Lytechinus pictus: one gene and its partner. The protein of the gene in region 1 binds, or shares a complex with, the protein of each later gene. Links are inferred from orthologs where the notes say so. Each region holds a gene or a part of one and is shown on either strand. Other genes may lie near its edges.

Evidence for each region.
Region 2: mitochondrial import inner membrane translocase subunit TIM50-like (region 1) and mitochondrial import inner membrane translocase subunit Tim21-like share a complex: the UniProt entries of both Homo sapiens proteins name them as parts of the TIM23 complex. The link is inferred for Lytechinus pictus from reciprocal best matches to the Homo sapiens genes TIMM50 and TIMM21.

The regions. Positions count from the first base shown.
Region 1 is NC_087251.1:24,158,287-24,165,488, forward strand, and holds the start of mitochondrial import inner membrane translocase subunit TIM50-like, read left to right. Parts: upstream 1-4,177; 5' UTR 4,178-4,512; coding exon 4,513-4,894; intron 4,895-7,202. Other genes in the region: molecular chaperone MKKS-like, read right to left, coding at 1-60. UniProt on the Homo sapiens protein: Essential component of the TIM23 complex, a complex that mediates the translocation of transit peptide-containing proteins across the mitochondrial inner membrane. Has some phosphatase activity in vitro; however such activity may not be relevant in vivo.
Region 2 is NC_087246.1:62,745,781-62,753,097, reverse strand, and holds the start of mitochondrial import inner membrane translocase subunit Tim21-like, read left to right. Parts: upstream 1-4,282; 5' UTR 4,283-4,542; intron 4,543-5,183; 5' UTR 5,184-5,342; intron 5,343-5,880; 5' UTR 5,881-5,909; coding exon 5,910-6,071; intron 6,072-7,267; coding exon 7,268-7,317. UniProt on the Homo sapiens protein: Participates in the translocation of transit peptide-containing proteins across the mitochondrial inner membrane.

The DNA.
Region 1 (7,202 bases):
GCGAGATTGTTCCTTTGGAGTTTGATAGGCCATACTTGTTCCTGGAGATGCAGCACACATCTGGAAAAATAAAATAAAACACTTCTTAATTCAAGGCTAACTCTGATACAAGATCTGCACTCATTTAACTAGTTGGCAGCCATCTTCAACATGATATCATTGTCATCCTTTGAATGTAAAATAAATTCAATGTAGGAAGCTGAGACAGTTAGTCTTATTTTCCAAATAAATCAAATCACCTGAAATTAGGATTAGAATGTGAACACTGACTGATATATCAAAATAAACAGCAACAGATATAATTTCTACATTTTGATAGCTGATTTGCCCAATAGTAAGTACAATTTCATAATATCTTTATAGAACTCAAAAAAGAAACAAGTGGAATGCCTCTGGCCGTCTCACCTGCATCACGCGATTCAATATAGCAGCAGTGCTGATTTTGAAAACTACTATAACTCGCACAAGATGTTCAGTGATACTTGGTTACTCTTATTTCCACGTTTTATGAACTAGACCAATACACTTATAGAGATATGATGGCAATTCAACAAATACCCCCAACGTGGCCAAAGTTCTTTGACCTTACATGACCTTTGAACTTGATCATGTGACCTGAAACTCGCACAGGATGTTCAGTGATACTTGATTACTATTATGTCCAAGTTTTATGAACTAGACCAACACACTTTCAAATTTATGGCTGTAATTCAACAAATACCCCAATTTGGCCAAAGTTCATTGACCCTAAATGACCTTTGACCTTGATCATGTGACCTGAAACTTGCACAGGATGTTCAGTAATACTTGATTACTATTATGTCCAAGTTTCATGAATCAGATCCATAAACTTTCAAAGTTATGATGGTAATTCAACAGATACCCCCAATTCGGCCAAAGTTCATTGACCCTAAATGACCTTTGACCTTGGTCATGTGATGTGAAACTCATGCAGGATGTTCAGTGATACTTGATTAACCTTATGTATAAGTTTCATGAACTAGGTCCATATATTTTCTAAGTTATGATGACATTTCAAAAACTTAACCTTAGGTTAAGATTTTGATGTTGATTCCCCCAACATGGTCTAAGTTCATTGACCCTAAATGACCTTTGACCTTGGTCATGTGACATGAAACTCAGGCAGGATGTTCAGTAATACTTGATTAACCTTATGGCCAAGTTTCATGAACTAGGTCCATATACTTTCTAAGTTATGCTGTCATTTCAAAAACTTAACCTCAGGTTAAGATTTGATGTTGACGCCGCCGTCGCCGCCGCCGCCGTCGCCGTCGGAAAAGCGGCGCCTATAGTCTCACTCTGCTATGCAGGTGAGACAAAAAATATCTTTCCACAAAACATAGAAATTGATTGCAATAAAATTTTACCTTGATCAGCTAGATGATTTACTTCTCATCTTTCCCAATAACAAGTACAGTATCGTGTTCTTTTCTATCCTCAATCCTAGCTGAAGTTTTTGCTATCTTCTGAACATTGTAGATCAAAAGGTGGGTCGTGACCAAAGCAATTCCAACACTCATGAACTTGTGTTCCATTATAATCTTTTTGAGACCCATGGTAATAATATGTCCTTCGGAGATATTAAATTTCAAAAGTTTTTGGTATGTCCTAAATTCTCCACTGATTGCACAGGTATTGGTACTCCAGTGATCTGCAAAAAACAAAAGACAAGAAGTATACATGAACATCAGTCAGTTTTTTTAATTTGTTTTAAAAAGAAGACCAAAATAGACATTTATAGCCAAAGTCCGCAGTCACTTTGAAGAGCATCTACTCAAATCCTTAACTATCAACCTTGTTCACTTGGACAACTCTATAACTAGCCACATCTTTCTCCTGAATAGACCCAGAAACCTTAGTAATTTTCTATTATTTCATTATTTCAGTTTGTAGACACAAATTCAAATAGGCAGTAATTTTGTTATCATCCAGAACCCCACGAAAAAAATAATATACAGCAATAAACTCCTTTATCTATTCAACTGATGTCCTACTATATTACTCTTATAGCTCAACATCTTACTACAAGGATGGAAAATGTTTCCTGCAGCATTCAGATAAACAAGGTTAGATAGTACTTTATTATTCCTGGGTCCTAATCCATGCAAAATCTTGATTTTATCTTGATTGTGTAGTCTTATAATATATCCCTACAAGAAGGAATAATTTCTGCTTATCTTTTCAACATTCACACGGACAAAATTGACAAAGGTACTGGGATCAAAGTAAGCTTCCGAACATTCCTGTCATTAAGTTTAAATTAAAAGTCACAATACATTTTCAACTGTTTTTAAAAAGGATATCATCAAGACACTCGATAAAGTATGTACCGGTATGCATATTGCAGGATGCCTACTGTGTGATTTAGCTCATAATTGGAGGACACTCCCCTTTGCTGACTGTCAAACCTAAAAATACAATACTGAACACATGGGCTCTGCATGCATTATATTCTTTTACATATCATTGCTTTACATTAATATTAAATTAATTTAACAATAATAATGAAGAAATACATCCTCCAAGCAAAATTAATGAGAAAAAAAATTATCAGTGAACTGTCAAATATTGAAAAAAAAATTAAAATAAAAATTACTACTTCCCTTCTCCTTATGAAATACATCCATCTTAAATGGTGAAAATGGGTTCCAAAAATATTGCATTGCTGTTATATATCATTACTTTAAAATGGATAAATTTCACATTTTCTTACTACAGAACTATACTTACGACTAATTGGACTTCTCAGCTGGTGATTTCAAAGCCTTTGATTTGATATAAGCTGGAAGACGATCTGAAATTTTCTTCTTTGAGTGTCCAGCTTCTTTATTGAAGACAGGATCATTGGCAATGTGGAACCATCCAACGTGAATGAGTGAAATACTTATTAATCCTACAAAGAGTACCCTGTTACGAACAAAAAAGTTCTTCTTTGGTGGATTCATGATGCAGGTAACGTTTTCTTTCTCTTTCAGAACTCAAATGCAACAAACTGAAATAAAAGGGTAAAATAAATCAAGATTAGTTTATAACTTTAGATGGAACCTCAGTTCTTCATCTTATTCAGACCAGGAGTACATCAAGTTCAAGTTACCAGAAGTCAGAAGAAACAAGTCTTGAATGACTCTGCAATAGAAAAAAAATATATCTTCAATTCATCATTCGTTAACCAAGTCTAAGACAAATCATGTCCTGATAAAATGAGATTGAGTCCTCCTACTTAAAGCAGCACTCATATCAGGTGGATCTGATTTCTGGGGAGCGTTTCATGAAAGGACTTGTGGGACGTTTTATCCCATTTTCATTACAGATCGAGCATCTTAAACACATAGGAGTAATGCCGAAAATTTGTTCACAAATTATTATTACCTCATATTAAAGCCTCTTTATTTACTAAGTCGTATTTCATCCGACAGTTACCAAAGAAACAGTGCTTCTCAGCACAATCAAGGAAAGTTGTCAGGTCTGACAACCCAAACATGGTCGGGTGTGCGAGGTTATTTTAGCTATCTAAATTCTAACCTCGCACTAGTGTGAGTGCCCATGTCCTCCACCAAAATAAGCCGAATCCAATTCCCATCCACTAACTAAGTCATGAAAGGAGTACTCTACAGAATCAAATTAAGGGCTGAATAAGCACACTATACCCAGCAATCCACAAATTGGCAAAAAGCCTACCTACGATATCATTAGAGTGATATGGTGAAAATTTCTATAATAAATATTTTAGAACAGTTTCTGCTGTCAATTGCTCATGTTTGAGTGGTTAAACTAGCAGTGGGTGTCAGGTAAAAGCTTTATGCTGCATTATTGTTGTATTGCATGATTGGCATGGTTTGAATCCAGCACATGATACATTTTTTTCAGTTGTAAATTGATAACAATTCAGGCAATGCCAATGCCATGCCAATGGTGAATTTATTCAATAAGACAATTATTGTGACATATAGGCCTATTTATTTGACAATGACCGACCATGTCGAAAACCGACAAAATATCATGGACTTGCAGTGGTTGCACTTGATCTTGTGGATATGGCAGCTGAGAGTAAAAGCCTCTCCTAAAAGCCATATTGTTGGCAGAATTAGGAATAACAAATAAATGAATGTTACATCATCCGTCCATTTAATAAGTGAGGTAGCCCCCCCCCCCCCTTCTCTCTCTCCGCCTTACTTACTGGTCACAAGAATATCAATATGTGGGACCGAACAAAATGTGAAATTGGTATGGCAACTTGGAAGATCCGATGGGACCAATACTACTTACCGTAGATTGAAATCATAACATGATTGTGATATATTTAAGAATCCATATTATGTTCCTATTCGATTGGTAGAAATATAAATTATTTAGATCTAGATCTTGTACTTGCCTTTTCAGAAGTTATCAGCTGACAGCGTCGACATCGGCCGCATCGCGCATAAATTTTGGTTACACAAGATCGCTTTGTCATGTCGCCCTCTTATGTTGAGTTAATATGAAGTTGACAAAATGGCAGCGCTCAGTGGAACGTGCGTGAGGCAATGGTTACGATTTTTGGGTACGAATGCAGCAAGAACAAGGACTGCGGATCATAGCACTAACTGTAGAACTTTACCGTCTTCAAATAATCATGCCAGGCTATTAGTTCGCCCATTATCAGTGACTACATTGCTCAGAAATGAGGAAAAACAGCCTAATCAGCCGACGGAAAGTGCGATGCCATTGGTGGCAATGCTCCGCGAGGCCGAGGAGAAGGCGAAACGAGAAACAGAGGATGACCGGAAGAAGAAGGAGGAGCGAAAAAAGAGAACGGCACGCATCCAGAAGTGGGCAATGCGCATCACGGGGGGAATGCTTGTTGGAGCATCATTATTGACTGTTTATGAATTAGGTATCCCGACCTTCACCTTGTTCTTTTTAATCTTTACTTGTCTTTTGAGTCTACTCTAGTCTTAGTACTATTCCTAACCAGTTAGTTATAACATATGTTGATGGGGTGTCCAAACTTCGCGCCCTTTTTCAAAAATATTCATCAGGCACAAAAATTTTTCCACAAAATATTCATAATTTATACAAAACCAATTCAAGAAATAGTTACCACATTGACAGCAAGATCGTAAACTATAAAATCATGGACGAAAATGTAAAGTAGGTCAAGGGGTTTCGCCGGTATCGCGATCTCAAATTTATATTCCGATCGGCGAATGTGCGCTGTGCTGGAAAACCGTTCAGAAAAAGTGTGACCTTATTTCGCGGACCAAAGTTTTTGTGGAAATTAAAAAAAAAACTCAAGCTCAAAAAGTGACATATTTATATCAGATTGATGGCAAAATGCCATAGAATCGGTTAGTACCACATTTAACTCACACTTTTGATGATTTCTGCTTGCAAAATGGTGATATCGTGATGCTTGTTGAGAATATCAGATTTCTTCAAAACGGGCGCTAACGGTGACAAATTTGCCGATCTTTTGCCAATATTTTCATGAATACTGAACTCATCCTAAAGAAACTTACACCGAAGGGTAATTTTAGGTCGCTTTTCACGTTGATGATGTCAGATTTTAAGGATATTGGCTAGTTTTTTAGGTAATGACCGTCCGCGATGTTTGGACTCACTGCCATACTAGATCCGCTGTTTCGGAGGAGTTTTTCAACATTTTCTGATTTTTTTGACGGATGACGGCCATTTGGCCGTAGTAATGGTGGAGCTCCACTGATGCCTTAATTACAGCTTTAATGGAGAAAAGGGTGCGATTTTGCACCCTCCTGTATTACTCCTAAATTTTGCTTTTTGATGGGGGAAAAAAGGAAGAAATGATTAAAGATAAATTTATATTAAATACAATGAATCAGCTTACCTCCTTTCCGAAAAATATGCTGGAAAATAGCGAATTTTGATAAAAAACAAATCAGGATAATATTGGTGAAGGTTTGAGGAAAAACCAACAAAGAATAAACAACTTAGATCTAGGCCTATTTGATTTGTGTCTTTTGTGACGTCATATGCAAGCAGCTTTCCTACATATCATCAATGAGTTGTCATTTTAAATGGATATCTCAGACCAATATTCATTTTTTTTTTCTGCTGTTTTTATAACAAAGTTCTTTTTTTCAGGGTGAACTTCCCTTTGAGTAAAGTAAAGTAAGCTAGATGCTATCTGATATGGGTGACCATATTAATTATTATAACACACATTTTTTATCAATTAGATATTGAAGGTGATGGTGTTATTCAATTTTTAAAAATAATAAGAAGTTCAGTACCACCTAGACATTGGCCAAAGTCAATATGGGTGACAATCTTACATATTGATTGGAGACTTCCTTTGCAAAAGAATTCAACTTGAAGAAACAACAACAACCACTAAACAAGGCAATTTTGTTTCACTGAGGTCAGAAGACTCGGAGCTTCTCAGTTGCTCATTTATTTTATGTGTGGATGATAGGTTCACTTCTTGTCATATTGTTGTTTGCTGCCAGGGTATTCGCTTTGAAGCAAATATGAACCCCCCCCCCCCAAAAAAAAAATGGTCTCTAAATATTTCTTGTGCAGTCATGTTCTAAATTGTATCGAACATATTGAATGAATGATGTGAATGGTCTCTCAAACGATTCCACTTTTATAAACAATAACACCTTCGTCTTTATTGTTATAATTCTTTTCTAACAGTTTTGTACAGTAGGCGAAAGGTCCATGGGTATTTATTTTCTAAATGTAACAGAAATTTCATATTCAAGCCAATTTTTGAACTGTTTTTGTTTTGTTTAGTTGAGACTTCATGCACAATCACCACACCCCCCCCCCCCAAAGAAAAAAGAATATGGATATTAAGGATGATAGTTCAGTTCTTATGCTGTTTTGCCTTTTTCAGAATTGAAAAGCAATGACATATTAATGATAAAACTTTATTATATTGACACATTTGCTCAATGCACTTTGATGCTATATAGAAACATGACCTATGCAAAATATTTACCTTACCCCTTTTTTTATTTGTCGCTGCCCAATATATATTCAATTAAGATACAAATGTTAATTTCAAGTCACTCTTTACATTTCATTCTGGTAAGTTAAGGGGCTTAGCAGGTTAACTCTTTTTTTTTTAAGTCAAACCTTGCAACATTTTACTATATTGTCAACATTTAATGTGACTGTTTGGTAGATGAGGCATTATATATCCTTTTTTAGTTTGTTGC
Region 2 (7,317 bases), on another chromosome or scaffold:
TCGAAAACGATAATTAAACTTTGCAAAAACTAGTCTTTTTACTTCACAATTTGAGTAGCGGTTGATCTTATTCACGATTTTCTACGGGGTGCCCGTAATCAGTATTTTTACGGAAATTTCACCTTTTTTAATAAAATTGGAAGAAGTTGACCAAAAAATATACAATATTCCGAAAGTGCTTCTTACGTCGGCTCGGTGTTCGTCAGGGCATCTCGTAATTACGGATAATTTTCGTTTCAGAAGGGGAAAAAGATGACACCAACATGACAATTTTTTCATGCCAGAACTCGAACACCCCGATTTATTGATATTTGCACTTCAACACGTAATTAATTAATGGTAGACTAGTCTTTATCAAGCATTAATTATGATCTCTTTTCTTTTGATATCAATTTGTTTTCTTTTATTTTTTGACCAAATGCTTTTTTCTTGTGTGTTAATTTGCCCATTATAATACACATATTTTATTATTTATTTAGTCTTTTTTTTTGGGGGGGGGTGGCAAATACTAAGGATTTAAAATGACCTTACATTTTGGGTGAACCCCCCCTTTTTTTTGCTTGTAAAATTTTTCTGTTAAAATAACATTACATTTTGGGTGATAACACTTTTTTTTTGCTTGCCATTTTTTTTTAAATAACCTTACATTATACTTTTGGTGATGACCTTTTTTTTTGGGGGGGGGGTTGTTAATTTTTTTTTTGGGGGGGGGTTAAAAAGGCCTTACATTTTGGGTGATAACCTTTTTTTTTCTTTGCTTGTCATTTTTTTAATGACCTTACATTATATTTTGGGGGATTTTTTTTTTTTGGGGGGGGTTGTTAATTTTTGGGGGGTTAAAAAGACCTAACATTTTGGGTGATAACTTTTTTTTTGGGGGGGGGGGTCAGGTCCCCCTACCTTTGGGGACAGATTTACGCCCATGTCAAATCTTTCTGTTAAAAGTACCTTACATTTTGAGTGATCTTTTTTTTTTTGCTTGCCATTTTTTTTAAATGACCTTACATTATACTTTTGGTGATAACCTTTTTTTTTTTGGGGGGGGGGGTTGTTAAATTTTTTGTTGGGGGGGGGGTTAAAAAGACCTTACATTTTGGGTGATAACCTTTTTTTTCTTTGCTTGTCATTTTTTTAAATGACCTTACATTATATTTTGGGTGATTTTTTTTTGGGGGGGTTGTTAATTTTTGGGGGGTTAAAAAGACCTTACATTTTGGGTGATAACCTTTTTTTTTTGGGGGGGGGGTCAGGTCCCCCTACCTTTGGGGACAGATTTACGCCCGTGGGAGGGTTTCCTTTTTATTATAATTTTTCAACCGTTTCCTTTTATTTATTTTTGTATAGATCGGGTGATTTTTTATCCTTCATATACAGACCTTTTTGGTCAGAATACCCCTATTTTTCATTTTTAATATTTCTTTATCGGGCGATTCTCCCTAATATTAAATTATTTTGATCCAATATCTAATTTTGGTCATATATCGAGAACCACCCCACGGATCCTTGAGACCTTGACTATGATTGATATATAATTTCATCTACATGTTGCTATTGTTGTCATCATTATCATTGTGACATTACTTTTGTCATTACTTTATATTAAAATTATAATCATTATCTCGAACATTCTTACCTTTTTCTGTGATGGTATGGCCAGGACCGAATCCATTTTTTTCTTTCTCTACATTCTAGGCTGGGTATTTTGCTCACTGTGGGCATGCAGGCTATGTATGAACAGTATATCCAATATGCAACGGCAGCACCAAGATTTTGACTAGGAGGCAAGTGGGGGGGGGGGGGGGTTGGTTTCAAAGATATATTTGGGGCCAAGTTTGGCAAAAGCACATTACAATTTACTAAACACGTTTTTCCAGGTTTATTTATTTTAAATTATCAGGGGACAACTGGGGAATGCCCCATAATGCCACCCCCCCCCCCTTGCAACCACTTTTAATTTGTATGCCATGGACAATGCCCTATTTTGATGGAATGAAGATTTTAATATTAACTATTTCTAAAAATTACAGGACTAATAACTCAACTAATACATGTTCTCTTAAGCTCCTTTTCTTATTTCCCTTTTTTTCCTCATTTTATCCCTTTATTCTATCAGGGGGTAATTGTTATTTTCACAGCCACGACTCATTGAACCCCCCCCCCCCCCCCCCCGTTGTATACTTTCCTGCACTTTTATAACATGATATTCTCTCTTTCTCTCCTATACTATAGAGGTGGATTTATTGTCATATTTACAAGAAGATCTGTAGGCCTACCAAGTCCATAAAGATGTCTTCTGTGGATAGGCTATACCTAGCCATCAATGTTCTCTGCGGTTATACATATACTTTGAAATGTAGAAAAAGATGCTTTTACTGTTAATATGGAAAGTTTATTTGTTTTTAATGAACAGTTTCACAGTGATCATATGATTAATAATGCTTTCACTGTTTCACAACTGAGACTGATTGAAAGATGAACGCAAAAGATTTTGAATTGAAAAAGACTACATCATTCATACTCATTGTGCTTTTTATTGCATAGTATATAAGCGATACAATTATGATTTTGATTTTGCTAATCCATAAATGATTGGTCTCAAAATAAATATGTTTCATTTATGATTACAGCATTTCATCATTGTAGAAATATTTATTCTGCTTAATTAATAAGTATAAGATACAGAATGGATCAAGAATAAAAATAAGGGCTGCAGTGATCAAGGAAAAAAAATGTCTACTGAAATGATGCATGACAGGCAATAATTTTCCTGGTATCGCATCGCAATTTGCTCCACACTTTTTAAAGACTGCTACGCATAAATTCTTTCGTAAAGCATATTTTTACATATAGGACTGTACATTACTTAGTTGAGAGCTAAATTATGACCAAAATGCTATTCGAATATGTAAGCAAAATTATTCCCTGCATGATATAACAATTACTTTTATTTGGTTGTCTCATCTTTCTTTCTTAAAAAAAAATGATTGACAGTCTATGATCACTAAAAACAATTTTTAAATCTCATTTTGGGACATGATAAATGTCTTTGTGTTATTATATTATAATTAATGCATTAATGCTCATAAGTAATTTATTGAAGTTGATGAAACCATTAAAAGTGCTTTATGAATATATTTTATGATTTTTTTATATTTATAATTCATTTATTCATTTTTATTTTTATTTATTTATTTATTTAAGTTGATAAAACAAATAAAAATTACTTATGATCTTTTTCAATTTTGTGTATTTATTTATTCATTTTTTTATTTACTATTACATGTATTTTTTATTTAGTTATTATTGTATTTACTGTATAGTTTCTGTTATGTTTTTGGAGATAAAGGAATCGATAATAAGGCAAGAGTGATCGATATATATATCATCAGTAAGTTATATTTTATTATGCAATCGGAATTGAGCGCCCATGCAGAGTGTGCTAAGGTAAGTGGTAAACTTCTATTTCGCACTTCTTTAGATGAACCAAGAAACCTGCAATAAAACACAGAAATCAAGTACCGGTAAGTGATATATGGAAATCAATAAATCAATAATGTTAAATCTCAATATGAATATAAAAAAAAAAACTGAAATACTCCTACTTGCCTCAATAAAAGTAGCGAGACAACAGACATGCATTGTGGTTATATCCTCCAAAATATATTCCCTACATGAATTACTCCATGAAATAAGTTCATATACTGGCAGAGAGAAATTATACCAATGTGATAATAAGTAATAATAACACAAATGATATAGGCCCATATGAAAGAAGATGCCAATGATGGTGATGATATTGATAACATTGATAATAGTAAATATTATTTTAAGAATGACAATAATGAAAATGACAATAGATATAAAAATATGATAATGAATCAATAACAATATTAATAATTTTATAAGTCATAGAAGAATAGTAATTGAGAGGAATACATAAAAAAGCTATTGCAAATAAATGTATCCATTCTCATTTTTCTAAATAAACAAATTAGAAAATCTATATGCACAAAACTCAAAATAAAAGTAAGTGATATGACTGAAATTATTCTAAAATTGAAATATAAATTAAATGTAGCAGAAACTCATTCAAACAATGAAATTTATGATTTAATGTATAAATAGTTGAAGAAATTAAAAAATAACTACATGGAAATAGATAAAGAGGTGAATTAAGTCAATAAACAATGAATTAACAACAAACCAATCATTTAATTATCACAGAGCGAGGGGGATATGATCGCGCGATCATCAACAGGCAAATTGTATTGCGCCATCTGGTGTTCGAATTCTGGCATGAGGTGTACGAATTCTGGCAGGCTCGAAGCCTTCGGCGATCGCCGCGCCACCCGAAACTTTCCCCAGAAAATCCAAATCGGACGGCACCTATGGAAAGCTTAGAATTTCGGCTACATCGCAAGCCCAAGAATGTAAGCCAGAAACACCGTAAATACATTTTATGCGACCTTTATTGAAAAGGTGTACGAGTTCTGGCGGTTATACGGTATGTCTGCTGTAGACAAAATGGAAACTCCAGTGAAAGTAAGCACTTTTTTTATTCACTCATATCATTGATGTTTATAATTTTGATCATTCCAAGTCGATGAAATATTTGCAAAAATATCTGTGTATTAATTTGAATCACGATTGGTACCGTAATTGTGAGACCCACGATGTTTTGAAAGACGTTTAATTCGTTCTGTTTTGTGTCGCAAGCGCTCGCGGTTGTCAGCGTCTTTGCCATGTCTATTGCCGCCGGAGCTTCGGCATGGTAATGTGACTCTGCGGGTTGCACTTGTGGCTCGAGCAGCTAGCAGCTACTGCTTCATGCTTCGGCACATTTGGAAAGATTTTATCTGTCAGTTGATTGTATTGGCCATTGTATTTCTATTGCTATGATCATATATTCTGATTTATGACTTATGTCATAAAATTTGAGTTTATACTAATTTGAATAAAAAGATTATTTAAGAATCAGACAAGCATATAATATAAATGAAGCTGAAAATTTGTATCCAATTCCAAATACAATTTTTTTTTGACATTTCATTTCAGATTTTATAGGTGACGATATGACATCACTCACATTATTTTTTTTTTTTGGGGGGGTATTTTATTCTATGAGAGAATAATCATTTAAAAATACTACTCTTGTTTTTTTTTCTTTATTGTTGGAAACAAAGTTTGATTCATCCCTGAATACTAAGTCTGACTAAAGTCCCGAAGAGTAAAGGGAGCTCCGGCCCGCGAAGTGGGCCTGGGCCCGGGATTTTGTGTCCGGGATTGTGTGTCCTGGGCCTGGGATTTGTGTGTCACGATAGACATTCATCCATATAATCGTAGTAAGTGCATAATTTCTGTTTCCACATTTTATTAAGATTACTATTGAGACCCCAATCTACCCCAGTGACAAACATTTCCTATTCAATTTTTTCTACAGAGAGGGTGCAATATATCACTAAATGCAGAGGAATCCAGCAACTGTTTGGAATTTTAGAGTTATATTCAGTATTCACTTTAATTTTGTATTTTCCTATAATAATAGGAACATATTTTAGAAATTTCGGCACAGGAAATATTATTTCTTTGCATGATAAATCAAGTGCGTAGCTTTAGGACCCCTTCTCCATTCGAAAAACAAGGCGGGATTTTCGTATTTAGTGAGTTTTTCTTGGTTAAGGATCTCTATAATATTGACCACAAATAAGTGAAAGATTATTTGTCCAAATATTAAGATGAGCAAAGTTTTTATCATTTGTAAACAAAGTGCGTAACTTTAGGTCCCCCCATCATACAGTTTTGAGCTAGATGGTCAAATTGCATTTTATATTTTTCCATTATATTATTTAAAACCATTAGCCTATTCTTATTTTGCCACAGGAGTCAAATGAGCAAAGCACAGATTGAAGATGTTGAATGAATTGAGTATCAGAGGGACGCAATACATCTTGACCTCACTGTCATACAGAGTGATACAGAGGTGCACATTATGCAGTACGAGGCCTTCAGTGGATAAATGGCAGAGTCCATATCGACAATTCACCCCTACTAGGCCATATTGTGTGAGGCAGGTAATTTATCCAAACCTGGTAGTAAAATGAAATCTGAGGTTCAAGCAGAAATATGAGAAAAAGCAGGTTGCTGAACAAAATTATGAATAATCATGTAGAAGTCCAACGGATATAGTACTTGAATATTATAAAAAAAGATCACCAAGTCTGTGCTCATCTTGAATTGGCAATATACATTAATAGTTAGTTGATTCTAAAAAGGGAAGGGATAGGCCTATCAACCCTCAGATGTGTCTTAAAAATTAAAATGTGTATTGATTTTGGGTTACTCTCCAATTCCTGTTTCTTCAGGTTGTAGTAAAAAAAACATTGTATAAAATATTTTGATTGGTTCTCAGAAAGGAAAAAAATTGGTGAAAAATTTGTAAAATTATTGCATTATAATATTTTTTTGTGAATTTACAAATTACTATAAAATTGCATCGCTGGGACTATGAATATACATTGAGAAAAAGAAATCATCCTAATTGTTTGTCTTGTATTTGATTTACACAATACTTATTTTCCATCTTTCACAACTTTTCCATCTTTCACATCTATTTGGGATGTATTTACATGCTTTCACTATACCTTTATTAGATTTCATTTTATTTTGAGCACCGGAGTGGAAAGGACAGGCAGGAATAAATATTCAAATTTTTGTCTGATCATAAATTTTAAATAGAATTGAACATTAGGTCCAAAATTTCATATTGAAGCAACCCCTTTTTCCATCTTATTGCTGGAAAAATGTATGAATAACAAGACAAATCTCTTTATGATATACCTTAAAATATAACACCCAGGCTTGTTATTCTAAGGCCATGGTCATGGGTGCCCTCTTGACTGGCCTTGATTCCTCTCTCATTGGCCTTTTTTCATTCCACATTTGTGTGATCATACAAAAATGTGGAAATTGGCCTTGCCCTGAAATTATTTCAAATTTTTAAAGTCTGTAACACTAATTTGTGTTTGCCTCTGTGGTGGTTCTCATCAAATCTTGGTCAGCAACCGGATGAGGGTGTCTTGTCTCGAATCATGGACATAGATGTAGACCTAATTGTGATTTTAGCTCAACTTTTTTTACCTCTTTGCATTTGATAGTGTTGAAGTTTTCTCATGTGATTTTTAGCTTTTTATCTAGCTCTTTAAATATATTTGTAGTAAAGAAAATAATGCTTCTGTTATCATTTTCCATTAATGATCCTTTACGATAGAAGTTTCCAGATCAGAATGTGATCTGTCATCGATGGTTCTCTACTACTAC